5 linked regions of the Rattus norvegicus genome follow. The protein of the gene in region 1 interacts with the protein of each later gene in a pairwise test. Links are inferred from orthologs where the notes say so. Each region holds a gene or a part of one and is shown on either strand. Other genes may lie near its edges. The genes, in order: Dtnb, Sntg2, Spz1, Dmd and Begain.

The links.
Region 2: the proteins of Dtnb (region 1) and Sntg2 interact in binary tests that used the Homo sapiens proteins (3 or more experiments, as listed by UniProt). The link is inferred for Rattus norvegicus from reciprocal best matches to the Homo sapiens genes DTNB and SNTG2.
Region 3: the proteins of Dtnb (region 1) and Spz1 interact in binary tests that used the Homo sapiens proteins (3 or more experiments, as listed by UniProt). The two-hybrid records come from large-scale screens. The link is inferred for Rattus norvegicus from reciprocal best matches to the Homo sapiens genes DTNB and SPZ1.
Region 4: the proteins of Dtnb (region 1) and Dmd interact in binary tests that used the Homo sapiens proteins (3 or more experiments, as listed by UniProt). The link is inferred for Rattus norvegicus from reciprocal best matches to the Homo sapiens genes DTNB and DMD.
Region 5: the proteins of Dtnb (region 1) and Begain interact in binary tests that used the Homo sapiens proteins (3 or more experiments, as listed by UniProt). The two-hybrid records come from large-scale screens. The link is inferred for Rattus norvegicus from reciprocal best matches to the Homo sapiens genes DTNB and BEGAIN.

The regions. Positions count from the first base shown.
Region 1 is NC_086024.1:32,285,081-32,289,297, forward strand, and holds the start of Dtnb (dystrobrevin beta), read left to right. Parts: upstream 1-1,401; 5' UTR 1,402-1,671; exon of another isoform or gene 1,672-1,686; intron 1,687-4,217.
Region 2 is NC_086024.1:52,587,963-52,591,479, reverse strand, and holds part of Sntg2 (gamma-2-syntrophin), read left to right. Parts: intron 1-978; coding exon 979-1,108; intron 1,109-2,857; coding exon 2,858-2,896; intron 2,897-3,517. UniProt on the Homo sapiens protein: Adapter protein that binds to and probably organizes the subcellular localization of a variety of proteins. May link various receptors to the actin cytoskeleton and the dystrophin glycoprotein complex.
Region 3 is NC_086020.1:25,531,283-25,534,534, reverse strand, and holds Spz1 (spermatogenic leucine zipper protein 1), read left to right. Parts: upstream 1-1,141; 5' UTR 1,142-1,331; coding exon 1,332-2,534; 3' UTR 2,535-2,738; downstream 2,739-3,252. UniProt on the Homo sapiens protein: Transcription factor that binds to the DNA sequence 5'-CANNTG-3'(E box) and the G-box motif. May play an important role in the regulation of cell proliferation and differentiation during spermatogenesis.
Region 4 is NC_086039.1:51,204,630-51,208,886, reverse strand, and holds the start of Dmd (dystrophin), read right to left. Parts: upstream 2,802-4,257; 5' UTR 2,558-2,801; coding exon 2,527-2,557; intron 1-2,526. UniProt on the Homo sapiens protein: Anchors the extracellular matrix to the cytoskeleton via F-actin. Ligand for dystroglycan.
Region 5 is NC_086024.1:133,707,501-133,710,378, forward strand, and holds the end of Begain (brain-enriched guanylate kinase-associated protein), read right to left. Parts: intron 2,778-2,878; coding exon 1,434-2,777; 3' UTR 510-1,433; downstream 1-509. UniProt on the Homo sapiens protein: May sustain the structure of the postsynaptic density (PSD).

The sequences.
Region 1 (4,217 bases):
TTCTATAAAAAAATGGCAATATGAGGGGCTGGAGAGATGGCTCAGCAAAGAGCACTTGCTATGTTATCCGAGGACCTGCGTTTGATTCCCCAGCATCCATCCACACTTCACAGTTCCAGGGGATCCAAAACACTCTTCTGGCCTCCGGGGGCACTCACGGGGTGCAAACATTGCAGCCCAAACACTCATACACATAAAATAAAACATAAATGCTTTAAAAAAGGATAGATGAGTTGGTAATAAATATAGATACATAAATAAATGAAGCTTTGTCGCCCCTGCTCCCTTGTCCAAGCTGTTTAATGTCCAAATACTCCCACTTTCAGGAACTACTGAACGACTAAGCGGAAAGTAATCTGTCCCTCCTCATCCTCTCACCGCATCCGGCTGTGGCTTGCCTTTGCGCAGAGGACCGGACTCGGTCCTTCGCAAGGCTGCTCTTCTCCCTAAGTTATGCGCTCTTGGGGACCAGGGCCGTGACCCAGATCGTGTCCACCGGGCACCAGGCGCATGAGTTAGTGCTCAAACGAGCCTGCTGAGGCAATGTGGAAAGTCACTCGGGGGAGGACCCGGCGCTCGAGGCGCGGGTGAATGATTCACCGGGTATTTCTTCGCATTCCTTACGGTTCAGTCACGTCGGCGCAGCACCCAGCCGCCCGGCAGCTACCTGTGGAGTGGAAGCGCACCTCCGCCTCCACCTCCGCCTCCGCGGCCAGCGCACAGCAGAGGCCCGGAGGGGGCGCGCAAACCCGCGGGAGGGCACTCGGCCGCCTCCCCGCCCCCTCTGGCGGCGGAAGCCCCGCCCCTCCGCGCGCCCGCCCTCCGCGCGCACCCGCCCTCGCCCTCGCCCTCGCGCCCTCGCGCCGGGGGCGGGCTCGCTGCGCGTGCCGGGCGGGGAAGCGGCGCGAGCCGGCGCCAGGAACGTTCGCCGCGGGGGCGGCTCCGGGGCCTGAGTGGGCGCCGCCGCCTCAGTCGCTGCCGCTGCTTCAGCTGCCTCTGCCGAGGGGGCCGGGTCGGAGGAGGCTGCGGCCGCCGGAGAGCCACGCGACGGCCCCTCAGCTTCGGCCGGGAAGCGAGCCAGGTGGGGAGTCCGCCGGGGCTGGAGGAGCGAAAAGGAGGGCTGCGGGGTGGCGGAGCGCGCGGCCCTGGAACGGCGACCCTTGGGAGACCGCACGCCGGGCCGGAGAGGGCTCTCCGGTCACCCGGGCGCGCGGGGGGCCGCGGAGCGCAGAACCCGGCTGCGCGCGCTGCTGATGCAGCCTGAGCCGGACTTGCGGGGAGGAGGCTCAGCGTTAGGTGCTGAAGGGGGCGAAGGCGGCAGGTCCTGGCAGAGGGCAGGTGAGGTAGGCAGGCCCTGGCAGAGGGGAGGGAATTCATTCCAGATCACCTCTCAGTGTCTCCCGAGGCTCCCGGTAGACGAACCTGTCTACTCAGGTCACCTCTGATGGGCACAGTGTCCCGAGAAGAGCGAGGATGCAGCTGACGAATGCTTACTGTTAAATTCCTGTGCCAGGCCTTGGGGAATCAGGGAGACCTTTCTAGCATTCTCTGCAAGCGTTTATTGATTAGCTACGGAGCAGGAGAGAACCGCGGTCAGCGCCCGGGTCACGACTTTATCACTCTCAACCATCATTTATTTGCTGTTGAAGTGCTGACAGTCCGGCTGTGAAAGTATACACACAAAATGTAAAGTGCTCTATTTTATGTTTCTTGTTCTGTTCACTTCAGGTCTCTTTAGGATTTTCCCAGCCCTGGGAAACTGGGCCGTAAGTTGCTTGGCTTGTGGAGAAAGTAAGATACTTGAGGAAAGCTGGTGGGAGCTATTGGGAAGAGATTTGAAGGGTCTTACTGACATTTAAAAGAGAGGGGAAAGAAATTTGGAAGGAGAATCTTGCCTTCCCAACTAGAATTAAGCTCCGCGCCTGTTTTCTGCCCAGTCCTCAGGATGTGGCCTGGATCCCGAAAGCCCTACAATGGATGCCCACTGCAGGAGTGGATGGAGGGACCAGGGTTTGATACATTTGATATGAAGTAGTGTCAGTCTCTGTAGAGTTAGGGATGCTCGCTGGCTTCCTTTGGTCCTAGGATTCTCTTTTTGCCTTCTCAGGTAACCCAGGGTTTTAGACGCTAAACCAGTGGCTTAGGTGGCAGACTCCGGTGGCTTGTGGCCACTTCTTCATCCACGCGGTTCTTGTATGTTGTGCACCAGAAGCTTGTTCTTTGGGTGGCTGCTTGAAGTCAGGTTCCGGTCCTTCTCTCATTGGCCTTTTCCCCCCTCCTCTGTCGTTTGAGGAGGACTGGAGGGAGCTTTTGCCTAGAGAACACTTTATAATTTCTATCCTGCCTCTTGGATCTTGGTTCTGAGGTGAGAGAATGCTTAAGTCTCTTCAGGTCTGTAAGGGCTGGAGTTCTGTCCTCTGCCTTGCTTGGACTCTCCAGCCCCATACTGCTGCTTCCTTTCCCTGGCTTGCAATGCCTGTTGGATTACTTTGCTTGCCAAATTAAAACTTGACCTTTTATGTGTTCTCTGAGGATTTTTATCAGACTTAAGTGGAACTGCCTCTGAAGGGGTTGTGCAGGCAAGGTGGTGCTGGCAGGGTCTTTAGCTTCACTGAATTTTGCCCGGGAGACAGAATATAGTTAAAATATTAGAGTGCGCAGGATTTCCAGTTACCCTTTATTTCATGTCTTCAGATGTTAACATATCTGACCCTTAGTCTCCTTATATAAAAAATAAGAGCAATATTAATCCAAATTTGTCATTGGATATATAGAAGCCTTGAAGTATATTCATTTAGTTCATTTTAATTAGTATTTGCATTTCAGGGTACAACCATTAAGTCTCTCTTAGGTTTTGTTTTGGGGTGCCTATGTGGCTTTGCAAATTTGGGTGTCTTGTTTCGGGCACTTCTAATATTTTATTTAGATATTTAATTTACATTTATTTGAAAATAAACCCTCTACCCCCGGTTTTTGAAGCAGGGTCTTGCTGAGTAGTAACCCCAGCTATATTGGTACTCGAAATACAGTAGCCCAGGCTGTAAGTTGACTTTGAACTGTGGCTATCCTTCTGTTAGTCCTTCCTGTGAAGCACCATGGCTGGTTAAAACAAACTTTTTGTTTGTTTGGGTTAAAGATAGGGTCTCTCTCTGTCATTCTGACTTTGAACTTATGTCTATTCTCCTATCTATGTGTCCTGGGATTACAGGTGTGCACTACTGTGCCTTCTTCATGTGTAGTTTACATAGGATAAAATGGATAGACTTTGCATATTGAGTTGGGTATTTTGAAAAAATGGTACATATTGGTGGGCATGGTGGCATATGTCTTTAGATTGAAGTCCTTAGGAGGCAGAGGCAAGCTGATCACTTCAAGTCCAGCTAGGGTTACATAGGAAGACACTGTTTCAACAACAACAAAAAAAGCAAAACAAAGTAACAAAAGTCCCTCCCCCAAGAAAACAAACAAAAAAAGAAAAGACATGTGTACTTTGTAACCTATCCCAATCAAAATATATACTTTTGTATCATGAGAAAGTTAACTCCTGCTGTCTTGGGGACAACCCCTCCCTCTATTTTATTAACTTAAAATTACATAAGCATTAGAGCTGTGGTTTCTAGATGTGCTGGAGGTACGCTGCTGTTCTAGGGTGTCTTTTGCACTGGAGTCTCTCTGTGCTGGCAGCTCCTGGAGTTGCAGTAGTTTGAGCAGTTCAGAATGCATATTTGCTTGTAAATTGCTCCAAATAAAACTCCCTTGACATACCTACTCCTTTTTCTACTCCGGTTACCAGTTTGTTGTTTTCTTCCCAGGCCTTTTTCTATGCATTTTACTTTTTTTGCATGTGTATGTGGTATGGGGGAGTCTGCATATGGTATCCATGTACCATACATTGTATATGCCTGTGAAAGCCCAGAGTTGACACTGGAGGTTCTCAGTTGCTCTCTTACTTATTTATTAAGTTCAGCCTCCTCCTGAACCTGGAGCTGGCCAATTTGGCTAGTCTAGCCAGTCAGCTCGTTCTGATGACTCCTGTCTGTCTCTAGAGCGCTGGCATTGTAGGTGGCTGCTATACCTGCCTGGCTTGTATGCGGGTTCTAGAGATTTGAACTCCAATTCGTATATTTGCGTGGCAAGTGCGTTATCCACTGAGTCATTTCCAGCTCTCTTTGCATTTTACTATAGCATTCTGTCTAGGTTGCTCTGTAGACTTTTTT
Region 2 (3,517 bases), about 20 Mb from region 1:
TGTACCAATACCATGCAGTTTTTATCACTATTGCTCTGTAATACTGCTTGAGTTCAGGGATAATGATTCCCCCTGAAGTCCTTTTATTGTTGAGGATAGCTTTAGCTATCCTGGGTTTTTTGTTATTTCAGATGAATTTGCAAATTGTTCTGTCTAACTCTTTGAAGAATTGGATTGGTATTTTGATGGGGATTGCATTGAATCTGTAGATTGCTTTTGGTAAAATGGGCATTTTTACTATATTAATACTGCCAATCCATGAGCATGGGAGATCTTTCCATCTTCTGAGGTCTTCTTCAATTTCCTTCTTCAGTGTCTTGAAGTTCTTATTGTACAGATCTTTTACTTGCTTTGTTAAAGTCACACCGAGGTACTTTATATTATTTGGGTCTATTATGAAGGGTGTCGTTTCCCTAATTTCTTTCTCGTTAGACAGCCTTATGTCAATCACCTCCCCTTGTTCACACTGAAGCAAGGACCCCAGGGCTTCTCTGGAGCTCCACTATAGATCCTAATTGTATGCACTAGGGCACCCCATCCCCTATCAGCACTGAGTGTGTTGGTGCTTAATGGCGTGTTAGGTTTCAGGTGGTAAGGTGGGCTGCAAACTAACTACATCTAAGATGCCTATAAAATGATAACTAAGATTTCAACCAGAGCAAACCTTCTTTCCCATCTGACCTGCTTTCCTTGTGCCTATTGAATTTGAAGCAGCTCTTAGTGAGGGAGCTCAGTGTGGATCCTCACTTTGGTAAGGCTAGTTCATTATACCTGTTGTTGACTAGAGGATTAAGACTGTCTGCTTTTTCACAAGGGTGTCACAGCTGAGCATAGCACAGCACGTGCTGAAAGCACCTGGCCCCTGCTGGAGTCCCAACCAGGTGTCATGCTCTAGCTGACTGGCTCCCTGGTGTTGTCCCTTTTGCTGGTGTCATTCTCCAGCTGACCTGCTCCCTGGTATCCTCCCTCCTGCTGCAGGTCCAGTGCATTGGAGGTGCTGGCCCTGGACGGAGCCAGCACAGGAGCCCTTCAGTTCTCCACTGCCCAGGACTGTGCGGATTGGTTGCGTGCAATCTCAACCAACATCAATGAACTGACGCTTCAACATGTGAGCAAAAAGCCCAGGGCTTACTCCCTCACTTGTTTGCATTTGCAGTAATGATGAGAAGTTTCCAAGGATAATTAACCCACTGTAAGGTTAGGTCTGCATACAGAACATACACTCGTTTCAATTGATCAGCAATCCAGCTCAAATAACTAAAACTTAACCTATTAAAATGTGTTTAGATACAAACATTGGAAACTTCCAGGCTAGATCCCTCTCTGTCTTTCTCTCCATCCCTTCCCTCTCATTCTTTCTCTTGTCATATACACACACAGGGATCTCTCTCTCTCTCTCTCTCTCTCTCTCTCTCTCTCTCTCTCTCTGCATTTCTCTCTCTCCCTCTCCCTTTCCTTCTCCCCTCCCCCCATCTCTGTCTCTGTTTCAAACTATCTTAATACAACGTGGCATTTGGATAAACTACTAACTGGGATAAAAATATGATACACACACCCTGGTTTTCCTCTGGCCTTCCCAAGTATGTGCACACATAAACATGAGCACAAACATTTACACACACACACACACACACACACACACACACACTTATTTTAAAAAATAAAAATAAAAAGGGCATACCTAACCAAATATACTGGTCCAGAAAGAAGCATTCTATGCCTTGGGTGATAAGTTTAATGTTCGAAGTCAGTAAGATTTGTAAAAGAAAGAATAAGTGGAGATGAGCTGGGGAAGGGAACATCAACTGCTTGCTGAGTCTCTCATGAAGTACTGCAAGCTGTATCCATGTAGCTGTGGCAGGACTGGCCCACAGCCAAGGACTTGGCCCAGTTCCCATCTTCGTTCCCTCCCAATACCCATGCTATGCTGTATGTTTGCTCCACATTCCTTTATCTGCGCTTGGCAGCTTGATGCAACCTGTGATGCCCTGCATCACACAGCCTAGTGCCTGCTGGCCCCTCCTTCCTCAGCTCCTGCCTGTCCTGGCCAGTGCTGGAGAGAAGTTAGCTGAATAATCTGAGATGCTTACAGATGCGGTCATATGAGAGATCCACTCTGAAGGCATGAGACTTATCCTTTAATGGTGTAAAAATAAACACATTCCTACAGTCCCACTTTCAATATTCCATACATTGAATCCCTATGATATTGGATGGATAATTTTTTAATTAAATAACTAAATAGATAAATGAGCAAACAGAAAGGAGACAGTTAGGACTGGATTAACATTAGAATTAATGCTAGTGAGTGCATAGTTCTCCTGATTGGGTGACCATCACAGGTGACCCTTGGGCAGCATGGCAGGGTAGACATGTGGGCTCACAGCACAGAGTGAATCTCCCTATGAACTTCCATTCCTTCACAGTAAAATTGTTGAAAGTCACATCTACATGTCTACATGGTTCTGAGACTTATGTATGGAATGGACTACTCACTGTGGGCATTGGTCATTGTAATATGACACAGAGTAGAGGCCACCTTCCTTTTTTTTTTTTTCAACATGGTAGAGTCTAAGCATCTATCATCCCCCAGCTGCCCTCACTTCGAGGACTCGTATTTGGGAATGATGACATTAAGGAGCCTGTGCCCGTCGTTTTGTTTCATTGTTTTCCTGCTTTGAGAATTGCTGCGATAAATTTGTATTTGCTCTGATTTGAAGATAAGCACAGCATAGAGGAAACTCATCTCCAAGGAACTTTCCTGGGCTGGTTAATTTCAGCTGCCATTTAGACAAGCTGAGAAATGAAGGCACTAGCGTGCGTGGCACACTGACCCCTTGCTGTCTTCCTTCTACAGATGAAAATGGCAAACAAATGCTGTTCTCCCTGTGACCAGGTAGGTGTATGACTTCAGCCCAGTAGGATAACCAACCCCCAAAGCGGCTGCTTCCTTTTGTGGAATTTAGATAGGAAAATGCTAGGGAGAATCATACCGAATTTGGTAGACTCTGTCACATGGGTGAACTCAAAGCTCTTTATTTATCTGGGAACACACTGGGGGACCGTTCTGATCACCTGTGTTTACAGAGATAAATGATGCCTGTGGGTTGTGCTCAGTAGAAAATGTGATCTGAACAGGATTTAGAGAGGGCTATAAGAGAGCCCAAAGAGCATTCAGGATGGAGAAAGGCCTGTGTGACTTAGGATCATTTTGTTGTATAATGTTATTGACTCAATGAGAGTTTATTCTGGAGCCAAATCTCAATAACCATGGCCCACAAACACATGTGGAGGTCTCCCCCCCCCCCAATCCCATATTCCAGTTTAGTAACAGTTTCATGAAGCTTTCACGGTAACAGAACAGAGAAAATCATAAGTCAAGCTACTTTTAGAATACAGCAATGTGAGCATCCAGTTGGTTGTTTAAAGCAAAATAGGAAAGTCTGGTAGGTTTCACATGTGGCATTCTGGTGACATTCTTAGCTGTGGAACTGGCGGTAGCTAGTGGTCTGTTAAT
Region 3 (3,252 bases), on another chromosome or scaffold:
CAATTGGAGCCTGGGGATATAGTTCGGAGGCAGAACACTCACGTACCATATAGAAGCCTTGGGTTTCTTGCCCGGTATGCTCACACGTGCATGTGCGTGTACACGGGCACACACACACACACACACACACACACACACACACACACACACACACACAGACAGAGACAGAGAGAGAGTTTATAACTGTGCTGTTGACTCATTCCAATAGCTTCGTAACATTCAGCAGACTATGAATGAAAGTGTTTCTGACATTAGTATCCTAAAATCACTAAAGATGGAGCACTTTGAGACTTCTGCTTGGTATCCTGTCACCACCATAGCAGCTCTTACAAAAAAAAAAAAAAAGGCATTTAATCAGGGCTGGCTTACAGTTTCAGTGGTTTCCATTGTCATCACAGCGGGAAGCATGGTGACAGGCAGGCAGAGAGGGTGCAGGAGGAGGAGCTGAGAGTTCTACATCTAGATCTGTGGGCAGCAGGAAGAGAAGTAGACTCGGGGCTTGCAATAGATTTTTCTGACCCCTCAAAGCCTACCCCCTAGGTAATACACTTCCTTCAACAAGGCCATACTTCCTAATCCTTACAGTGTTGCTCCCTGGTGACCAAGTTTTCAAATCTGAGTCTGTGGAGGCCATTCTCATTAAAACCTCCCCGCATTCTCTCCCACCCCAGGAGCAACACTTTCCCCTTCTGTGAAAGAGTCCTCACTCAGCCTGATGAGCTTTCTCTCAACTATACACACACACACACACACACACACACACACACACACACGTGTGTATATAGGTATATATAGATATAGATGTATATGTATATATATTTAGGTGGAACACTGTGGTTGCAGTTGGCTCTGTATGGTATGGTGAGGTTGGAGGTAGGAGGGTGAGGAGGGAAATTACTGTAATGCCGTTAGAATGAAGAGCTGAGAAAAGAGGGGCAGGCTAGTGGAGAGGTCTCATGAGGGAGGAGTAAGGTTGGTTGTGGTGTCTGAGTCGTGGGACAGGAGTTTAAGGGACTTCCATTGTGATGTAAAGGAAACAGAATGTGTTGCCCCAGAGGGGCAATGACAGAATAAAGACCCAGTTGCTGGGGCCTTGGAAAAAATACCAGAAGCCTAGCAGAAGGGAGATGGAGCTTCAGCTCCCGGTCTCCCTTCCCAACCCCTCCCCCTGGGCTGTTTGAGATGTAACCTTCTACCTGAACACCATCTCCCTGGTCTCAGTCCTTAACTCTGGTCCATAATTCCTGCTTGGTACCATCTCCACCGACTCACAGGAGACTGCCATCTGTCCTTCCTGGAATCTCTAAGGTTTCTGCTTTCCTCAGGTCCCAATGGCAGACAGTGACAGCTCATCTGAGATGCCTGCCCATTCTCCATCTCCTAGCCCTATTCCTTGTGCTAAGCAAAAACCACCGAATACTGGGATCACCATTTCCCTCCTTGAAATCGGATCACTCCCCACTTTCTGCTGCAGCTCCTTCTCAGAACCAAATAATAATATGTGTCCAATAAGAAAACAAGGGAAGGTACAGAAATTTAGCAATCTCTTAAAAGACGTTAAAGATGTTCTTAAAAACATAGCAGGCTTTGAAGAGAAGACTACAGATGGGGATCCTTTTGATGATACCTATATTCCTGAAGACCTGTCAGAACTTAACATCAGAGGTTTTGATAAGAGAAATAAACTTCGATTTAAAGATGATCTATTCATTCATTTCGACCCAGAGAGAGAAAACACAATGAGGCAGGAGATGTTATTCAAAAGCCATAGTGCTAAGAACATGGTACAAAAGTTTGCAAGGGACCTGTGCAATTCAGAAGAAAAGAGAGGCTGTGACGGCGTGCAGCTGAACGCGAAAAGACGTCGGACTGGGTCAGTTCACATTCGTGGAGAGTACAGAAAACTCAGGAACAATATGGAGCAGTTACTGCAGGAAGCAGACCACTGGAGTAAACAGCACAATGAACTCAGCGAACTCATGAGATCATATCAGGAATGCCATAAAGAAATCAAAGACATTGTTGACTGCAGTCGAGTCTGTTCGCAAACCCAAAACAACAACGAGGTACCCTCCAAGCAGAAACTGGAGGAGCAGGTGAAGAAACTGAGCCAAGACACCCACTCGCTGCATTTGATCGCAGCCCTGCTGGAGAACGAATGTCAGATCTTACAACAGAGGGTGGATATCCTCAGGGAATTACATCTCCACGAAGCAGGACCCGGGCACGAGAAGCCTTTGCAAACGTCTGGTGAGCAGGACAAGAAGTGTGGTGAGCAGGACAAGAAATGTGGCGAGCAGGACAAGAAATGTGGCGAGCAGGACAAGAAATGTCCGAAGTTAGCGGAAGCAGAAAAGATGGACGGTTCCAAGCATACTATGAAGACAACGGAAGGCACGATTACTAGGAAACCAAAGATCTTCAGGTGCCCTAATGATTGCCTTACTAAGAAGGCTCGAAATAACCGCTTCAACGCCCGCGTTGCAAAGAAATCTCTTGTGGGGAAAAGGAGAACCATTAGCAGCTTTAGGTAGAAGCCGCCACAAGCAGATCCAACTTGAGCCAAAACTGTTATCCACCCAGGGTAGATCTTCTGATTCCACCAAGGAGGAGGCATAGGATAAGAGAAACCCATATTATCTCAGTAGTTAGAGAAGTTTGGGCCTTAATAACTATTGTATGTATTGTTAACCAAGTGAAAATTTGGGTAAAAACAAGAATAAAAGGAAAGCACTTTATTGGTTTGATTGATTGTTTTCTTCTAATTTCTTTAACCACAACTTACAATGATCTAACTGTGATAGTTTAAAGCCTGTTTTCCTATTAGTATTTAGTTTCCCTATTCTGTTTGTGTGGAATATGTTGGAGTTAAGGGAGAAAAATAACTGAGGACAGGACAGGAAAACTACAGAGCTAAAGCATCCTAGAACGCTTCACCCCTCCTAACTCTAGCTCTGGCTCTACTCTCCCCGGTGTCCCTCTTCTGGTCCTCAGTTCATGCATGAGGGTACACTGGGGAGCCGAAGCCTCTGGGCGAAGGCCATCGTAACTTGATCAGAAGCTTAGAGGTGTTTCTAGACTCTTCCTTTTTGGTGTAAAAAAAAAAAAAGTAGAGGAAGTGAGCTTTCTGCTGTGGGTGGGGTGGAAACGAACCCTTTAAGGGAGCTGGACTTAAGTGTCAAAACAGACAGCGCAGGCACATTTTCTTGCTTCTCACTGAGCAAAAGCCACGTGGCATCATGGGCAGAGCAA
Region 4 (4,257 bases), on another chromosome or scaffold:
CTTTCTGAGATAGAATGAAAACCAACCAAAAATTATTCATGGACGGACCCTTGGCTCCAGCCGCATATGTAGCAGAGGATGGCATTGTCTGGCATCAAAATAGGAGAAGTCCTTGGTCCTGTGAAGGCTCAATTTCCCCAGTGTAGGGGAATGCCAGGGCAGGGAAGTGGGAATGGGTGTGTGGGAGGGGAGCACCCTCATAGAAATGGGGGGGGGTGGGAGAGGCGGGTTCTTGAGAGGAAACCAGGAAAGGGTATAACATTTGAAATGTAAATACATAAAATATCCAATAAAGAAGTTAAAAAAATAAAGAAGAAAAAACCATTGCTTCTTACTGAAACAAATCCAAATCTGTACTATATACATGTAAATTATTTATTTGCACATCAAAAACTTATCTTCAGTGATGAATGCTAAACTATATTTCTGTGTATTTTTAAAAATTACTTAATTTTGGATATAATGTTCCATAAACATTTTAAAATAAAGGAACAACATCAATGTAACACATTATAATTTCCATATTGATATTATATAAAAAGACAAGAAAAATCCTCTTATTAAATTAGAAATTATATCATGAATTTAAAGAGGATTTTCTTTTTTCAGTTAACATGCCCTTAAGAGATCTTATAATTAAAATTCTAAAATATAACTTTGTTAGACTTCAAGACAAATTGTGCCATTTAAATATCTGAATGAAATGTCTACTTGCAATGGACTACTTGAATATTCTAAATTATATGTGTAATGCTAAATGTAAATCTTTGTCTTAATGCCATAACCTTTTCATTCGAACAGTAATGTTTTGAGATTTCAAAACAATTAAATATGTTCTTCAAAGTCTTAAAATCTTAAGCAAATTGAGATACAAGACTCAAATATCAAAACACCCAGCTAGTTCACTGTTAAAATAGCAAAAGCTTTCGTGCACCATAACCATTAGAACAACTTTTTTTTCCCTTAAACCTACTGCTATTTTGCAGAAGCATTATTTCACTGTTTAGAAATGCTGTCTATAGCACAGCTGAGCATAAGCTTGCCTTTCTCCACTTAAGAACTGCATTTCTAATCAATAGTCTTCAACAGTGCTCTGGGCACTGGTTTTTTTATTTTTGTTTTGAAGGCTTAATTATCTCCAACGAATTATCTCAATAATATTTATAAGTTAATACAAAAGACATCAAAAGATATAATTGAATTGTGTATACCTATGTGTTACAAAAATATGTAAGTGCTTCATGTATTTTGCACTGAAATAAAACAGAGCAGCTTTTCCTTTAGGAAATAATAGTGAAGCTCACAAAAGAAATGTTGGAAGCAACCACAGAAACAGGTGGTATACAGTGAAATGGAGGAGCATCTATATAAAATCAGTGCATGCATAACCTTGATTTCCACAACCTTTTTCTGAGTATGTGCTTGACTTTTCTTTTCTAGAATTTGTGAGTCATGGATCATTAGCCATTTATGAAGATTTCTATCTTCATTCTTAATTATAAGCATGACTACAGTTCACAAGTCAAAAATAGTGAGAAAATGATAATCTTCAACCATATCTCTGGGACACACTGGCTTCATGATGGATTATTTTTATGTTATTTTTGTTGTTGTGTTTGGGTCAATTTTTAAAATCATTAGTCACAGCTGACTCTTTAAGACTAAGTGGAAGACATTTTTAAATAAAGGTCTGATCTAAAAGTTTTACTGAACTGCTAGGTCACAGTCAACATGAATCACCAAATGACTTACTACAAAATGGGATTACAAGCTTTCTAGTTTTTATTTTGTTTTTAGATCAACACACTGCATGGTTATTTTCCAGCATGAATTGTACCATTATTTAAAGAATAATCACAATATGACAAAGAGCAGTATATTCAAAAGATGAAGTATAATTTAAAAAAAAAACTTAGAAATTCTATCTTCATGTACACTGTCAAAGACAACCTATTTTCTTTACTTTCCCCTATGGTGTGCCAGATAAAACCTTTTCAAACTTCAGGGCTCACTTATTTCCATAAAGAATTAGTTCACTGAAATACATGTCAGTTCACAACTGTCTACAAAACCATTACAAAAAAATAGCAACTAAAATAAAAACAGAGATACATAATCTACCTCACAATAATCAAAATGGTCTGTTTCATGCACTCAAAGCAAGCTATGCATATATTATTTAGTGGTTTCTTAAACAAGAACAATGTGTGTCTCTATTGCAAAAGGCAAACAAATTATAGTAACAAACCCCCACAACTCTTCCTAATATCTCCTCAAAATGTTTCAGTGTGGAACACATACACTAGAATATATATATATATATACTCTATATATATATATATTATATATAATACATAAACACATATAGACAGACAGACAGATAGATAATAAAGTACACAGATGACAAAATTTATGCTTTTTCATAAGCTACTGTAATAAGCTTAAATCAATCTGCCTACTCAGTGAGCTTGTCACAAGCTGAAAGTCATGCCACAGTTAAGATATTTTTAGTTACTTTGTACTTACAACAGTCCTCTACTTCTTCCCACCAAAGCATTTGGAAGAGAAAGTATATATCAAGGCAGGAATAAAAATCTTGGTAAAAGTTTCTCCCAGTTTTATTGCTCCAGGAGGCTTAGGTACGATGAGAAGCCAATAAACTTCAGCAGCCTTGGAAAAAAAAATAGCACTTCAAGTTTTCCTATTCGTTTTTTCTATAAAGACTATTGCCTTCAAGAGCTGAGTTCTGTAGGGGGCAAGTGAGTGAGCCCAACACTGAGTGAGTCAACATAGTAACTGATGCCAGGATTCTGTAGAGGCCTCTGGATATTTCAAATTCCAGGACCTGCGCACAAGCAAGTGACCCGCCTTTTCTCTCAAGTTGCTTTGCCATAATAGGACTGCCCATGGACACTACATATAAGGCTGTGCTTCCAGCATGGCAAGCTCTGTGAATTCAAATAATGTTCAACTCTGTCCTGAGTCACATCCAAACTAGAATAGCACAGGGATCTCAGTCCTGCTCTCCAAGTCCCCTAAATGTAAAAGCACATTAGTGCAATGTTGCCACAATATTTTAGTAACTTTTATGTTACTTTCCAAAAGAATAAACAGAAAATACAGATCCAGAATTAACTTTTAACTGTCTTTTGTTTTTGTTTTGTTTTGTTGTTTTCTCTCTTCTCAACACTACCAAAAAATGGCATTTTATTTTACTGGACATTAAAAAATTCCCAGAATAATCCATTCATTTTAAACTATCTGATATCTACCAAAATTAATTTTTACCCTTGGGATCCAATCAAAACTATGTAGCATAATGCCAATATTCTGATTAAAAGAAGCAAGAGTAGAATGGAGCAGCTGAGTTCTGAAGGCAAAATGTGAATAGGTCTTAGGATGGGACAAAGTTTCCGCTAAAATAAAGAGTCCTCTTGTGAGTAGAACAGGGAATTCTTCGCAAAATACCAAGTTTCAGTTGTAAGTTATGTTAAGACTACTTTACAAGAAATGTATTCTTCCTCAATTTCTGCTGTAATAATTATTAAAACCATTCCATGAAATATTGAGATAATCAGTTAATTGTCACCTCTACACACCAAAAACAAACAAACAAACGAACGAACCTGTAATAGTAATGGACAGAGTTCTGATAGGTCATCTAGGACATTTGTAAATGATTCTTTGTCCACCAAAGCATTTGTATTCATCTTCATTATTTATGTATCAAGTAAGATCAATATTTTAAAACACTTTGATAACAGTGTGAGAAAGGTATTTGCTTTACCATTATAACCATCTTACTTGAGTTGTTTTAGAGTCTTATAATAATTATAAGTTTGCAAATTAAATAGGGTAATGGGAGAGAGAGACTAGAGTACAATGTGTTTAGTAGGCATATGTGCCATGCTTTTCCTCACCCTATATTATCTCATGCTTTCACCTGTCTTCCTTCGCTTAGAAACTCTCCCTCTCTTTTCGTGGTTCCCTTTCTAATTTTATAACCCCTGTCCTACCCCAACACCACACACACACACACACACACACACACACACACACACACACACACACACACACATTTAGATTTCTTACAGGCAAGGGAACAAACTATATTTGTTCTTTTGAGATGGGTCTGGCTCATTTTGCTTAACAACATGATTTCCATTTCTGGCCAATTTTCTTTAAATGTCATGATTGCACTTTTCTTCATAATATGTTAAAATTTCACTGTGTACGTATTCTGCATTCACTTTATTG
Region 5 (2,878 bases), about 100 Mb from region 1:
AGGAGCCACTGTCCTAGGATTTGTTGAAAAACACACGATGCATTTTCAGGGGTTGAACAATGATCGTGTGTCAGGTAACCAGGCATGGAAAGAAACAGGGTGACATGAGCAGGAAGCACAGACACAGACCCACTGAGTTTATGTGGTTAAAGAGCCAGACCTGGACTCTTAAATGGCCGCTGGCTTTGCAGAAGTAAGAGGTGAGCTTGACAGAAATTCAGGGGAACAGAAAACTGGATGAGGGCCCGGGGCATCTGTGCCAACCAAGGAGCACATGGCAGAAGTTGGCACCTGGAGTGGACACGGACACACCCGGTCTCTGTTTGGCAGTGGAGCAGACACTGGCTTGCTGGAAGGTAAGCTGTGTAGCCCCCTGCAGGGTGAGTCACAGACAGTGCCATCAGAGGGCAGAGTTGAGGGCTCTGCTGGACAGGGACCAGTGAGGGACACTAGGTCCCTGCTTCCTGTACTGGTTAACGCTGCGGGGAAAGAAACACTGCAAGCCTGGGCTCTTTCCACTGCTGTCCTTTATTAAGGAATGTGAAATACAGTTCTAACGGACGGCATGCATCACAGACGACAGGTGCACAAGGGTGGGAGGAGCCTCATGTCTGAGGTAGAGTCGGGTGGTGTTGGGAGGGGGAGGGGAGGAACGAGCACCGGCTGTTCTGGGGGTGTCCCTGGCCCCTCTTGGGCCCACAGGCCGGGCCACGGAAGAGCTCAGGGTGGATCAGGGCGGAGTGCTGGCTGCACTGTGACACGGGAGCGAGCATAAGACATTTTCTGCGCCCTAAGTGGCTTTGGTTCCCCTCCTCAGTGTTCAGAACTTCAGAATTCCCTTGTTGCTGGCTTCTCCCTACTTGTGGAGACTGGTCCCTCTAGGGCCCCAGCCTCCCCTTCCCTGGGGCAGGCCCCAAGCACCCTCACTGGAAATGAAGGAACTTCGTGTGGGGTACGCCAAGGCTGCCATCCAGAAGTTGGCAGCAAGTGCGTGAACAAACGCTCTTTTTCCCTAAAAAAATAGCTTCACTTATAAAACAGGGGATGCTCACTTCAGGGAAGGGTGCAGAGCGGAAATATTCTGGGTAGGGTTTGCAGCAGAGGCTGGGGTGGACAAGACGATTGGCAGAGGGGGTCTTTTCAGGTTCTACTGGGGTGTTAGTAACAGGGTCAGGAGGAACTGGAACTGGAACAGGAACTGGAACGGGAACTGGAACAGGAACGGGAACTGGAACGGGAACTGGAACTGGAACAGGAACTGGAACAGGAACGGGAACTGGAACTGGAACAGGAACTGGAACAGGAACTGGAACTGGAACAGGAACTGGAACTGGAACTGGAGTTCCTTAGCAGGGGTTGGGACGAGGGGGTTAGCTACTCCCTATATGGGGCAGGGTGGTAGGGAGCCCCTGACTGCAGCCTGCTGATGGCAGTCAGTTGAGCAGGGTTCCGTAGAGCTGGGCCTTAGTGAGACTGTCCTTGCGGCTCAGCCCAGAGCCTCCAGTCCTTGGGAAGGCCTGCTGGGGGCTGAGGCGGGTTGGAGGGTGCATTTCGGGAGAGGCCTCCATGGAGCTAGGCTCCAGGGAATCCCGGGAGCCGTGCTCGGGCTCCGGGCTACTGCCAGGCCCACACAGCTGCACCCCGAGCCTATCCCCATCCCCGTCACTGGTGGCATAGCCAGGGAGAGGATCAGCTGAACGGCTGGGGCTGAGGCTCAGATCACCACCCGCTCGGAGGAAGCAGGGCTCGGCCAGATGACCCTGGGAGAGGTCATCGCCCTCCGAGAAACTATCGGCTTTGTAGCTGGCATAGAGGGGGCTGGCACGGCCCTCGGCATTCTTGCCCGGGCTGCCGCCGCCGCCACCGCCGCCGTAGAAACGTTCTGAGAAGTTGCAGGGCGAGGCGGCGCGGCCTGCAGCGCCGGCCTGGTAAGAGTAGGCGCCCACATCCTCCACGCTCAGGGGCCGCCACTGGCCTCGAATGTCCTCCCGGGCGGCAAGCCGGTTACCGCTCGGCTTGGCCCGCAGGCTCCACAGGTTGGGAGGCATGAGAGCCTGCTGGGAGGCCGGATAGCGGTAGGGCTCGGCCGGGTACGGAGACACAGTCCGAGCGAAGCCTGGGGCTACCTGGGCCTCGAGCGGGGAGCCCAGGGTGGCCGCGGCCTTGGCGTAGCGAGGGCTGCTGCCGTAGGTGGCGGAGGGCGGCTTGCGGCTGAAGAGCTCTTCGCGGCTGTTCAGGTAGATGGCCTGCTGCGAGGCGGTCAGCGTGCTGGCCTGCGCGTGCTCCTTCTCCTCGGACGTGGCGCTGAAGCTGGAGTAGGAGCTGGACGTGGGCAGCGAGGCCGCGTAGCCCTGGAAGGCCTCGCGACGGTAGGCCTCCGGGAAGGCCGCCGCCTCGGCCTCCTCCTCTTCCGCCAGGCTGTCGGTGGAATTCTGCGCACGCAGGAAGCCCACGTCGGTCACCGGCGTGTCCACGCTGGGCCGCCGGTCGTGATCTCGCTCGTCAGGGCAGTAGAGAGCCGTGTCGCTGCAGTAGATGTCTCCCTTGTACGGGGGTCGCGGGCCCGGGTTCTCCACTCCGTCGCGGTAGGCCAGGTCGCGGGCCGAGGCATCCGACATGCGCGAGGACAGGCTGCCAGGGTCGGGCTTCTCCAGCACCTTGGCGATGACGCAGGTGGGCACGCTGTCGGCGTAGGACGGATGGCACAGTGGGGACGGCAGGCTGCAGCCATGCTTCTCCATATGCAGGCTCACACGCTGCTGGAAGTCCGAGGGCAGCTGGAACGGGCGTGAGGAGGAGAGGAGAATGGGGACAGGTCATAGCAAAGAGGCTCACCCCTGGCCCCGAGGCCACGGCCACACCAACATCGCAGACAGAG